Kluyveromyces lactis: one gene and its partners. The protein of the gene in region 3 interacts with the protein of the main gene of each other region in a pairwise test. Links are inferred from orthologs where the notes say so. Each region holds a gene or a part of one and is shown on either strand. Other genes may lie near its edges. The genes, in order: CDC53, CDC5 and CDC7.

The links.
Region 1: the proteins of CDC7 (region 3) and CDC53 interact in a two-hybrid assay, tested with the Saccharomyces cerevisiae proteins (2 studies listed by BioGRID). The link is inferred for Kluyveromyces lactis from reciprocal best matches to the Saccharomyces cerevisiae genes CDC7 and CDC53.
Region 2: the proteins of CDC7 (region 3) and CDC5 interact in binary tests that used the Saccharomyces cerevisiae proteins (3 or more experiments, as listed by UniProt). The link is inferred for Kluyveromyces lactis from reciprocal best matches to the Saccharomyces cerevisiae genes CDC7 and CDC5.

The regions. Positions count from the first base shown.
Region 1 is NC_006042.1:536,714-540,874, reverse strand, and holds CDC53 (cullin CDC53), read right to left. Parts: upstream 2,955-4,161; coding exon 516-2,954; downstream 1-515. Other genes in the region: SRF1 (phospholipase D regulator), read right to left, coding at 3,770-4,161. UniProt on the Saccharomyces cerevisiae protein: Core component of multiple cullin-RING-based SCF (SKP1-CUL1-F-box) E3 ubiquitin-protein ligase complexes which mediate the ubiquitination and subsequent proteasomal degradation of target proteins.
Region 2 is NC_006039.1:539,008-543,193, reverse strand, and holds CDC5 (polo kinase CDC5), read right to left. Parts: upstream 2,786-4,186; coding exon 659-2,785; downstream 1-658. UniProt on the Saccharomyces cerevisiae protein: Protein kinase required for the cell cycle where it is involved in mitotic exit. A component of the fear (CDC14 early anaphase release) network which promotes CDC14 release from the nucleolus during early anaphase. Phosphorylates SCC1/MCD1 and NET1.
Region 3 is NC_006039.1:396,523-399,897, reverse strand, and holds CDC7 (serine/threonine protein kinase CDC7), read right to left. Parts: upstream 2,000-3,375; coding exon 572-1,999; downstream 1-571. Other genes in the region: trans-2-enoyl-CoA reductase (NADPH) TSC13, read left to right, coding at 1-267; ERP3 (Erp3p), read left to right, coding at 2,200-2,919; DAL1 (allantoinase), read right to left, coding at 3,006-3,375. UniProt on the Saccharomyces cerevisiae protein: Serine/threonine-protein kinase. Needed for the initiation of DNA synthesis during mitosis as well as for synaptonemal complex formation and commitment to recombination during meiosis. Required for HTA1-HTB1 locus transcription repression.

The DNA of each region.
Region 1 (4,161 bases), on a different chromosome or scaffold from region 3:
TTTTTTTTTTTTCAGACTCATTCATGTCATCGAAACTGCCTTGATATGGCTTGACTCATCTGAAATCTGAATTTTTTCTTTCCCATAATTGAAATATGGTCAATGAAAAGAAATATGGTAAAATTCCCACTCAATTTCGAGCTAAAGTCTAATCATGACCAATTTTCGTGAATATTCCTGTGGATTTTAAATCCGATGAACGTAGATTTTTGCAGCAGGTATTGACAAACACCTTCCGAATGATGCTAAGGTAGTCACTGAGAGTAGTGAGAGCAGCAAGAGAGCAGAGAGGGCTACCCAAGCATTTAGGTTTGGCTATTGAGTAATGAATAGTATACTCGTCGGTCCTTTCATGATGTCTCTCTTTTTTTCTTGGGAATATTCATGCTTGAAAATATGGGGCCCAAGGTTGACCTTTGGTCGAATGGTCGAATGGTTGCGAAATATATGTTGATACATATACATTTCTTATACATATGTATGGCGAAGTAAAAGGTGGATAAAAAAGTGAGCGTTTACGCTAGATATTCATAGCATTCACCGTCGTCTGTCCTTTTCAAATACTCTTGTTCTATTAGATTGTCGACAGCTTTTTTGATCATGGACACCTTGGCGTTGAATCTCTGTTGAGATTCGGCAATACACTCGTTCATCAATGAACTGTGTGGTAGTTTTCTCTTTGCCTTCATAATTCTCACTATGCATGCTCTTAAGAACATCAATCTTTGTTGATTTAGTTCCTTTTCTGCTTTCTTTTGCTCAGATGCCTCTGTTTCATCTAATGCAGATCCATTAACGGTTGCAGTAAAGGTTAGATCATTTTTCACAGCGGCTGCAAAATTAACACTAGTTTTCGATAATCGATAGGGTTTGTTTAAGGTGTACTTTGTATCTAACTTGATCATACTTTCCACCCCTTCTGGAGATTGTATTAATAGTTTCATCTTCACAAACGGATACATATTAGACGCAATCTGTGTAGCCTTCAAATTGGTTCTCTCTTGTATTTGTTCAAAGGTCAACGTAGATATATCATTAAACAAGGTAAGAATCGCCATTTGGAAAATAGTCACAGTGAATTGGAATGGTGGTTTGCCTGGTTTACCAATATGTGCCTTGATTTCACCACGAGACATTGGCCATAGCCATTTCAATATTCTACCAGAATGCTTGTCAGTATACATGGTTTCCAATTTGTTCTTACTATGTTCAAGAACTGGTGGTAATGCGAATTCTGTTGGTTGATAGCTGAAGGGCCATACATTGTCTGCAAGAATTAGAGGTTCTAATTCAGGAACTTTGCTTCTGAAAGTTGCGGCGCTAGTAGTATTATTCCCATCTTGTGAAATGAACGTGGAAAATTCATCATGCAAGTTTTTAGATAATTTGACATCTTGTAGCATCTTGGTAATCTTGCTGGTGTATTCAAGACTGTTCTCGGACTGTAGTCTTTGGATAATGATTTCTTCATCAGCTTCTGATTTTGATGATCCATGAATTAATCTTTTTGCTAAATTTTTTCGGTAATGCATCTCAAATGCATCCTTGTCGGCCAAGAACTTAAAGACAGTCATGATATCATCCACGGTCAAATCTACCTGTTCATTATTCTTGGTCGACTTTTTGAGCAACTGGTCACTGTATTTCGCCAACATCTCAGGAGCTCTAGAAGTCGCAAATTTAGGTGAACCAGGAGGAATAGCGAATGAGTTATTGTTAATGAAGCAACGGCATCCATAGTCTAAAGCCTTAGCAAAAGCAGGATGATTTTCAAAACATTCTATGGTGATATTGTAAAAGAGTTTGTAAACTCCTATTAAACATTTCAAGTAATCTCTAGGTGATAATCCCGGTTGCCTTTTAGCGTTTGAATCTTGTGCTGCACTCTTATTATGTGCATCAATTAATTTATCGATTTCTTCATTTCCGACTCTCTTGATGTACATATCAAAAGTATCCACCAAATCTGGTAACATTCGGTAATCGCGTTTCATCAATTCGTATATGAGCTTAATCAATCTTTGATCTTGCTTATCCAAAAGTAAAATAAACTCTTTTTTTAACTTATCGGCATGATCAGCAATCAAAACTTGGTTCAAAGCTGTAGACAATGGTGCCGATGTATGGGAATCCAAATATAAAATCATGTCCTTTTCTTCGAAGATTATGCATTCATTTGCCTTTTCGATGTATTCAGAGACACTGTGAGAGTCTAAGAATTCGTTGGACATCTTCGTGTAGTATTCTTTTGTCTTCTGTAGGAATGGCTGTTCGAAGTTTTGAATATACACATTCAAATTCAACTTCTTTAAGTCTGATGGATCGATACCTAATATCACAAAGGATTTTATTGCTATTGTAATAGCAGATTTATTCACTAATTCACCCCTCCGCTGCAAATCCAATTGATCGAATATTTCAGTAACGAGTTCCGTCTTATGTGTTTCAAACATAACTTCTTTCCACGTCATCAAGCACAAAGTATGTGCATCGAAAATGTGTCTTTTACCATCGCTTCTTTCCTTTTGCACCCAGTAACGGTTCATATAGTCGAAGACCCGATTTAAGAAAATAGCTCCGATTGTAAATCTTTCCCAGCGTCTCACGTAGAAATTCAAAAACGTTACATTATCATCTTTCTTTAAATTCGATATGTAATCTTTCAAATAATTCTTTAAGTTCTCATAGATTTCTCCTCCAACAAGAATCGAAGATTGATTCATTTGCTTCCCTATAATATCAGATTGGAAATGACCTGTAGAACGTGACTTGTTGACACAGTAATTATAAATCGCCGTGTATACCTCCATGTACATCCTTGGGGAAAGAACTTTCTGAACTCTGTTTGTCTTTATATCCGATGTACCATCACGATCCAAGATCTGGTCGATCCCAGGCTTCACAAAGTTCCATGTTGCTTCCAAATCATCTGATCTAGGTAATGTGTCTGCCATAGCTTATTAGACTTGTTTCTTATTGATTGCACGTGTAGTTTCTTTTACCAGTAATATTTCTATTGAACGATGCCTAAGTTATCTTTTCTGAAGCGTTAATGAGACTTGCTTCCCACTAACCCAGTTAAATATACGCTTTAGAATAATAGTATTCCCAAGGGCGCAGGTAGCGGTACTTGTAAATAAAGATTTGGTAGTAAACTGAAATCAGCAGCGATAGAAAATACAGTTCGAGTCCCAATTAGTCGAGCAACCCTTTTCAATGAATCGAAAGAAAGGATAAAACAGAATAGAAAGCGCCTTCACTGCTAAATATGAAATGCACCACTTGTTGGCGGGATCCTATAAAAAAGGGTCACACAGGAAAACTTTATATTGCTTCTATCGTGAAGTATCTCCGAGTTGTTCGATATTTTGACCCTTTTTGACAGCCTTACTTGTTATATACTGATTTATATAATTGCATACTATGTTACTATAATTTCTTATATTTTTGTTTTCGTTTGCCACACATTATTGGAATATCAAAAAATCCTGAATTGTTCCTCAATATGAATCTGATCTTATTATTAAAGTACTTAAAAGAGGGTAAGGATTACAGCTTTCGGCAAATATACTTTAGCATACTGCAGTCGTCTAATTATGTTGTTTAATACAGGGCCCAAACTTATATGTTTATAAGGTTTTCTTTGGTACTTTTGATTTTCTTTTGTTGGGTTTGTAAACAAATTATGTACTCTCATGGAATAATGATTTATTTAAAACAATTAATCTACAGGCGTCTTAAGTCGGAAGGGCCCGTTTCAAGAATAGTCTTAGGGTCTTGGAGCACCAGAACTGACTCTTTCCACGACCCTTAATATGCTAATACTGAACGTTACAACCCAAGTGACCAAGACCAAGAAAAGGAACGCCGCGAGCGCCCTTTGTTTGTCACATATATATCCTACGTGCGGAGGATCAACTTGTGACGTTCCAGTAGATGTGCAGACCCATCGATTATCATATAATGTATTGAAGGTAAGCGATAAATTAGCACTTGAAAATATGATGAATAAAAGGTCCAGCATAATTAGTCTGACTTTAGTCATAGGATCTCTAATTCCTAGCGGTTTCCCTGAAAATTCGTCATATCCGATATAAACCAAATATAATATAGCGATGGAATTAACACATAGCGCCATGATAGTACTTGGTTGTTGAGGTA
Region 2 (4,186 bases), about 140 kb from region 3:
TCATCTTTTCAAAAGAATTATTGAACCTCCTTCGGTTTTTCTCTATCCCCTCTTCCCTTCTATGTATTATTTTCATGAACTGTGTTGTGTTTCGGCTATAAAATAGGAGAGCGTATTACTATCCACCGTAAAGTTCAACGTTCATTGTGTATAGGACTATTTCTTTTGGGTTTTTTGGGTATTATCAGTACAGAATAGTGACCTTGTTTGCAATAAAAAAACCTTGGAAGGAACAAGATATTCGAATTTTGATATCTTCACATCTTTCTAACTTGTATACATTTGTTGTTACTTTTAAGATACAGTTTTTCTGGTGAGGGATCATGTTAAGATTCAATTATTAATTTATGTTAAATTAAACAAATTTATTCTGGCAGCCCCAGGCTTATTTCATCACAGATTCAAAATTAACTAATGAAACAATGAAATCTGACAGGTGAAGATATTTTGATACAGAATGGATGGCAGTTTTAGAAGTTGCAATCGGGGGAACACAACGATCAGGAATAGCTGGTATCATTTGGTATAAATCGTTGGATGCAGGAATGCGAAAAAAATACATAAAGGCGCTTGATGGACGTAGCCATACATGCTGGCTTGTACAACCAGATGAAGACATTCAAATGCAAATTGCATATTATCACAATGACATCCCTACCTAATGTATTGTTAGAACACTTGCTTTATCTCTCAAGCCCTCCTTCATTAGTTCTAGTTTCTCGAATATATCAATAGAAGGGAATCCTGGTACACATCCATCTATTAGAACACTCGAAAGCAGTAACGTTATCGTTTTACGATCAGATGAAATAAATGTTAAGAATTTACCTCCATGTGACAATGCAAATTTATTGTGATCCTTGAAGTTGAATTGGAAAGTACCATCACTCAACTCAAACATAACAAACTGTTTATAACGGGTGTATCTTCTCAAGAACACATCATCTTTATGATAAGTTTCACGGACCAGCGTAGAAATTCTACTCAAATTGGAGTTCATGTAATTTGAGAAAAAATCGACCACTTCAAGGTGTCTTGTTAATTCAATAGGTTTAGATTCTAATTTATAATGGCTTGCAACCCATCCTTCCTTAGTATCATAGTTAATATACCAGAATTCTTCCGCATCTGCTAGCTTTAATACTGTGGTTCCGTTGTTGAATAACACCCCGATATCGTCAGTTGATAACTGGTATGCAAATCCATGTTTGTTCGAATAGTCTACCCATTTTGTGACCACGATTGGGTCTTGTACGGTGGAGTCTGGAGAAGGATAGTTTGATTGCCTCTTATCTATTTCGGCACTCTTGATCCCTCGTAGTGTCATGTGGCATTCACTTGCAAGTATTTTCAGCGACATTTCGGATTTAATCATGTTAGTTGAAGTTGCCACCAACTCAGGCTTGAAGAATAGATTCTCTCCGGCTTTTTTCAGTCGATTTTGATATGCCATCTCGTTAAATTTTCTGTGGCCATCAAGATCGATAACTTCTTTATATTTATTTTTGGTTCCGCCTGGTGACAAGGATTGTGGTAAAACAGCTCTGTTTCTTTCTTCTTCTATTTCTGTTCTCACTAACTCAATTGGATTCTTACTACCATCATAAGAATGAGTTTGTGAGCTCTTAAGTAACCCTGAGTTTAGCATACATTGTTTCAAGTTAATCAATGACTCGCTGAAACTGAGGTGATCGAAATTTGGAATCTCCTTGGTTATTGTAGACGGTAATCTTGAAGGGAAAGTATTTCTGAACCATACGTTATCAGTTATTTCATATAACGATGGTCTGGCGGCTGGATTTAACTGTAAGAGATGTGAAATCAAGTTTTTAGCATCTGAGGATACCGGTTTGTCAGCTGGGAAAATGAAATCTCTACACTTAATTCTTTCATAGATTGTTTCAACTTCTTTTGCCTGGAATGGTGGTTTACCGAATAGCAATGCATAGAGCATCACACCAATTGACCAAATATCAACCTCATATGAGTGACCAGTGTGCTTTCCGGTGAGCACTTCTGGAGCAATATAGTTAGGTGTACCACAAATGGTATATTTACGCTCTTTATCATTTGCCAAGACAGCAGCAAGACCGAAATCACCGATTTTTAAGTTGTACTCTTTATCGAAGAAAATATTTCCAAGTTTCAAGTCTCTATGAATAACTCTTCTACTGTGCATATATCTTATGGCACCAATGATTTGGATCATACAGAATCTTACTTCAGGTTCCGTCAAATGTTTTCTTTGTCTTAATAATTCCATAACAGATCCGTTTGGACAGATCTCTAATAAGATATAAACGTTAGTATCATCTTCGAAACAGTCTGTAAATTGAACGATATTGGGATGTTTCATAGATTTGTGGATCTGAATTTCTGATAGTAATTTCCTTCTTGTCTTTTCAGATTTGATAGACAGTTTAGCAACTGTCTTCGCAGCAAATACTTTTCCCTTGTCATCCTTCATTTGGAAACAACGAGCAAATCCTCCCTCACCTAAGAAATGTCCTCTGTGGTAGTCCCGTCCTCTAGTCTTGATCAACGATGGAGGTGTTTTGCATAAAGAAGAGAGTTTTTCCTTCTTCTTTTTCTGAGGCGGCTGCTGACGATTGATATTATTATTATTATTGTTATTATTATTATTGGTGGGTTTACCATTCGTAGTAAGTCTATCTATATGATGCAGCTCAGTAACAACCCTTTTAGCCTTGATCGGTGTATGAATATTATTCGATCGAGCATTTAGCTGTTTATCGTTGATGATTTGAAGTGGTGGTGCAGACATGATGTCTGATTATTTTGTAGCTCTTTGATGGAATGATACTCCTGCGAGCTTTTGTTATGTCAAACACCCTTGTCGAACCAGTATACAAGAAATATCACTGCAATGTGTGATAAATAGTCTACACTTATCAACCTCCAGTAACTAATTTCTTTCTTGCGTGTATTTCCTTGGCCCGTCCAATAAATACCTTGCAATTAACGGTTTTGTGGCTCTCGATCAAAAAAAATGAATCTACGACGTCAAAGCACTGGCACCGTTGAAAAACTGAAGCGATTTAGGTTAACAACAGCAGAATGAGTACAACAACCAAGATTCTGACTGTTAAATGATGTTTCCGCTCACTGTAAGTCTTCCTTTCACCTGCAAGTTTGTAAACTAATATCAGTGATGTAAGTATTCCTAAGAATAATCGAACTTTCAACTGAATTATGGCAGTCGCAGTAAAAAAATGCTTCTAATATCAAAAGAACCCTTGTTATAAGCACTTGATACGTCTCAGGTAAGATGGTAACAATTAAAGGACTGAGTTCCCGCCCTCTCTTATGCCAAGTATGCTCTTAGGAAGTATGTAAAGAAAGACTGTATAATATTAGAATCTGACTTTTTTCCCTTCCAATATAATAGTATATTATACCAAACCCAGTACTTTTAAGCTGATATAAAAGCCAAACCAGTATACAAGGATACCCAAATAGTAATATCAATGACAATGAGCTACCGCAATTTACTGTAACTTCAAATTTATTCAAACCGACAAATTACTAGTTTTGTCAACTTTGAAAACACAAAACCGACTATTTACATTATTGAATTTTTTTCGACATTAACCAAATCTGTACAACGGAAATGAACAAAATGTAAACAATAACAAAACACTCAATGCGGTAAGTGCCAAAAACCCTTATTTCTTTAAAAGGACATTTTCCTAAGTAAGTATCTAATGAAAAAGCAAATAATTACCTTACCCGAATATTAGATCACGTGAGACTTTTTTTTTTTTGGGGGCAATTTTGAAAATTTACGGTTGTTCTATTTTCATTTTCACTTCTGCCCTTTACAGGTTAATATCTGTTGAATGTCTTGGATTCTTGAAAAATCAAATCTTCAAGCATTCGGTAGAAAAAGCTGATCTATTTTTTAGTAAGAGAAGAGGCACTGTCCTGATCAGCGCCTAAAGAAAACTAATAAAAAAGAAACATCCTAAACGGTCGAGAGAGTTCTATATTACTGGTGTCGGTAATATATCTACTTTAGAATTTCCTTTGTTTTATATTTACGATAAGAAATTTAAGGTTAAGACGGACCACAACCAAAGTAATTTGATATAGCCCATTTTAGAGCGCTACAGACTTGAATAGGCAGGTAAAAAGAACCCTATATAGTACTTCTATCGAATTAGTG
Region 3 (3,375 bases):
GTCGCATTGCGTAGATGGGGTGATGAACAAAAGAGAAACGGTGTCACGAAGAGAGTCCCATTGAATTCTGGGTTGTTCAAACTACTTGTCGCTCCAAATTACACTTTTGAATCTTGGGCTTGGATGTTTTTCACTTTGTTGTTCAAGTTGAACTTATTCTCAGTTCTTTTCCTTGTTGTCTCGGTGGTTCAGATGTACTTGTGGGCTCAAAAGAAAAACAAGAAATATGGTACCAAGAGAGCATTCTTGATCCCATTCTTGTTCTGAATTCACCAATTACTATCACCACATACATATTTGACTTGGGGTATTATAGCATTCTCTCTTAAGTGAATAACGCTGTTTTACTCGTTTATTTACGCACTTGTTCTCTAACTTATGCCGTCAAAGCGTTGGCAACGTTTGTAAACTAAATATAATAATGATGATGAATGCAAAGTATTAAATTACTCTATCGGTTAAAGAACTCTATATATGAATGCATGTATATAAAAAATGAGTTCTGCTCTAAGTTATTGCGGTGAATATATGCTAATTTTCGTCAAATATTTTTGTTTCGTTCTGGATTTCATTACTCAACGACCCCGGTGAAGTGATCTTCTCTTCTTTGATCTCTATCAAGTAAATCTTCGTTCAGTTCTTTGAACCATAAATGTTCAAGAAGATCACTGGCGCTGGGTCTTTTGTATGAATTGAGTTCGAAACATTTTGCCAAGAGATCAAAACACCAAAAATGATCGTCCCAAACTGCTTGTTTGTAGCTCCGTATTTTATCATCAATATCCTCTTCATCGTCTGGGCCTAAACTTGGCGTGAGTTGTTTGTCAAATTGTGTCAAATAATCCAACGTCTCGAACGCTATGGAATACTCTGGTAATGTTCCTTCCTCCACTTCTTTGTCAAGTAAAGCTCTCACAAAACCTTGTAGCCCCCCAGGATATCCTTCCGAATGGAAACCTGGAACCTTTGTCATGTCTAGTCCCAACCCATGGAACTTGGCGACTTCTTGCATGGGCTTGATTCCAAAAATGCAACATATCTCCAGAAAGGCGTCAATATCATCCATGCTTTGAAAGATTGGGAACCTTCTGCTGATGAAACTTAACAGTATCACACCAACTGACCAAATGTCAATTTTTTGAGTTTGGAAAGAACATTTCATAAGCACTTCTGGCGCTCTGAACCCTCTCGTACCAGCTCTATTAGCTCTACGCTGCCTCCTAGTTTCATGTTTTGGGTACCCCTTACTCAATTCTGCCTTCATGAGATTCTCACTTTGTGCAGCACTTAATTCATTTGCCCCTCTAACGTTAAGCTGCCCGTTCTGAATGGATATCAACGGCAGATGTGATGTCTTTTTGTTGTTAGCATACGGTGAAGAACAATTACAAACCTTCTCTCCCTGGTCATTAACATACACACGATAGTTGAGGTCAGGCAAGTACAACTCTTCATTCTCTTCAGCCAAACCAAAGTCTACTAACACACCTCTCCCAAGTATTGGGTTGTATAGGAAATTGGTTGGCTTCACGTCTCTGTGAATGATTCCAAATGAGTGCACGTATTTCAAGGCGCTTAAAAGTTCAAACATGTACTTCTTTATCCCCTTGATAGGCATGTCTCGGTAGAAATGCCGGAATTCTTCATGCGGATACCAGGGCAAGACGACAACCACCTGATCCTGGTATCGAATCGCGTCGCATAATGGTGCTACGTTATTCGAATTTGACAGTAACTCTAAGAGTTTAAGTTCATTTTCAATTCTGTTCGGCGAGCTTGTCACGTATATCCTCTTGATAGCCACATGTTTACTATTCTTATCCCAGAAATGATCAGGGTATAACCTTCCAGATACGTTGCTAAGATCTTGAGCTTTATATACCGATGAAAAGGTCCCCTCTCCGATCTTATCCAGTAGCTTGTATCTGGATGACAACTGTGGTACCTTATCGTACAAATCATCCATTTCCTGGATGATTTCAGCGGGAATGTCATCCATAATTATAGTGTGTATATTGCCACCTAATATGAAGCCTAACAGACGAGCTGTATACCCATTGGTTTGACTCTACAAGAACAGATACGCTATATCCGTTGATTCTTTTATTCTATGCATTTTTTGGCGATGTTTTCATTTTTATTGTCGAAACCAAATATAATAACAAACAGCAGTAGTTCACATTGAAATGACATATATTAATGAACAGAAACAGGACGTTAAAAGGGGAATTGTCGAATAAAAGGACATTTACACACAAAGCAACCTTCATGTATAACTTATTAAATATGAAGTTTACATGGTTATGGGTATTTTCGCTTGTGATTGTCTGTCAAAGCTCACCAATAACGGTACAATTACAGAAGAATGGGAAAGAATGTGTTTACATTGATGTTGATGACAGTGACTGCAAAATATCTTATTACTTCGCAGTACAAGAGGGAGAAAACAATGCCTTCAGAGTAAGCTATGAATTATGGTCTCCGGACGATACAGAGTATCCTATGATTTACAAAGATGACGAAGAGCAAGGGCAATGGACATTTCCTGCGAAACATACTGGTGAATATGCGTTATGTGTCATTGGTGATGAATATCCTAAGATTGTTGATTTAGACATTGTACAGATATGTTTCGATCAGATACCGAAGCCAGCAGATCCTCGTTTGATAGGAGAGACGATAGATAGTTCACTGGTGAGGACACTGCAAGATTCTGTAAATATAATAGAGGATCAGCTTCAAGTCTTGGAAAGAAATTTGAAGCTGTACAAATCACGTGCAGAAAGAAACCACCACACTGTTAAATCAATAGCATCGAGGTTGGTCACCATATCAATTTGCTCCATAGTTCTTGTACCGACGATTGCTGTTCTAGAAATTATAATAATGAAGTATATTCTAGGTAAATTTAAATCATAAGTGATATATATATAATATGTATATCATGCATCAAATAAAGGTAATTCAAAATTGAAGAAAAAAAAATGATTAGAAGATGGGGTACTTCATGTTCTTCTGCGTTCAAGAATTGTCTGGCCGGGAGGGTTTTTATTATGTCCCATGCCGTCAAGTTCAAAAGCCAATTTTCCTCTAACATAGGTGTTTCTCACTAAACCTTTCAGTTTGAACCCATCATAGGCTGTCAGTTTGTTTTTGAAATAAACTTTATCGTTGTCGACAGTCTGATAGGTATTGATGTCGAAGATAACAAAATCTGCGTCGTATCCAGTTCTTAGGAAACCCTTCCTGTGATCAAGACCAACTTGCTTACTGGTGTTCTCGCAACACCATTGAATGATTTCAGCGATGGAAGCACCGTTAGTGTATAGTAATGGTAGTCCCAACCCGACGGATGCAATTCCTCCCCATGCACTA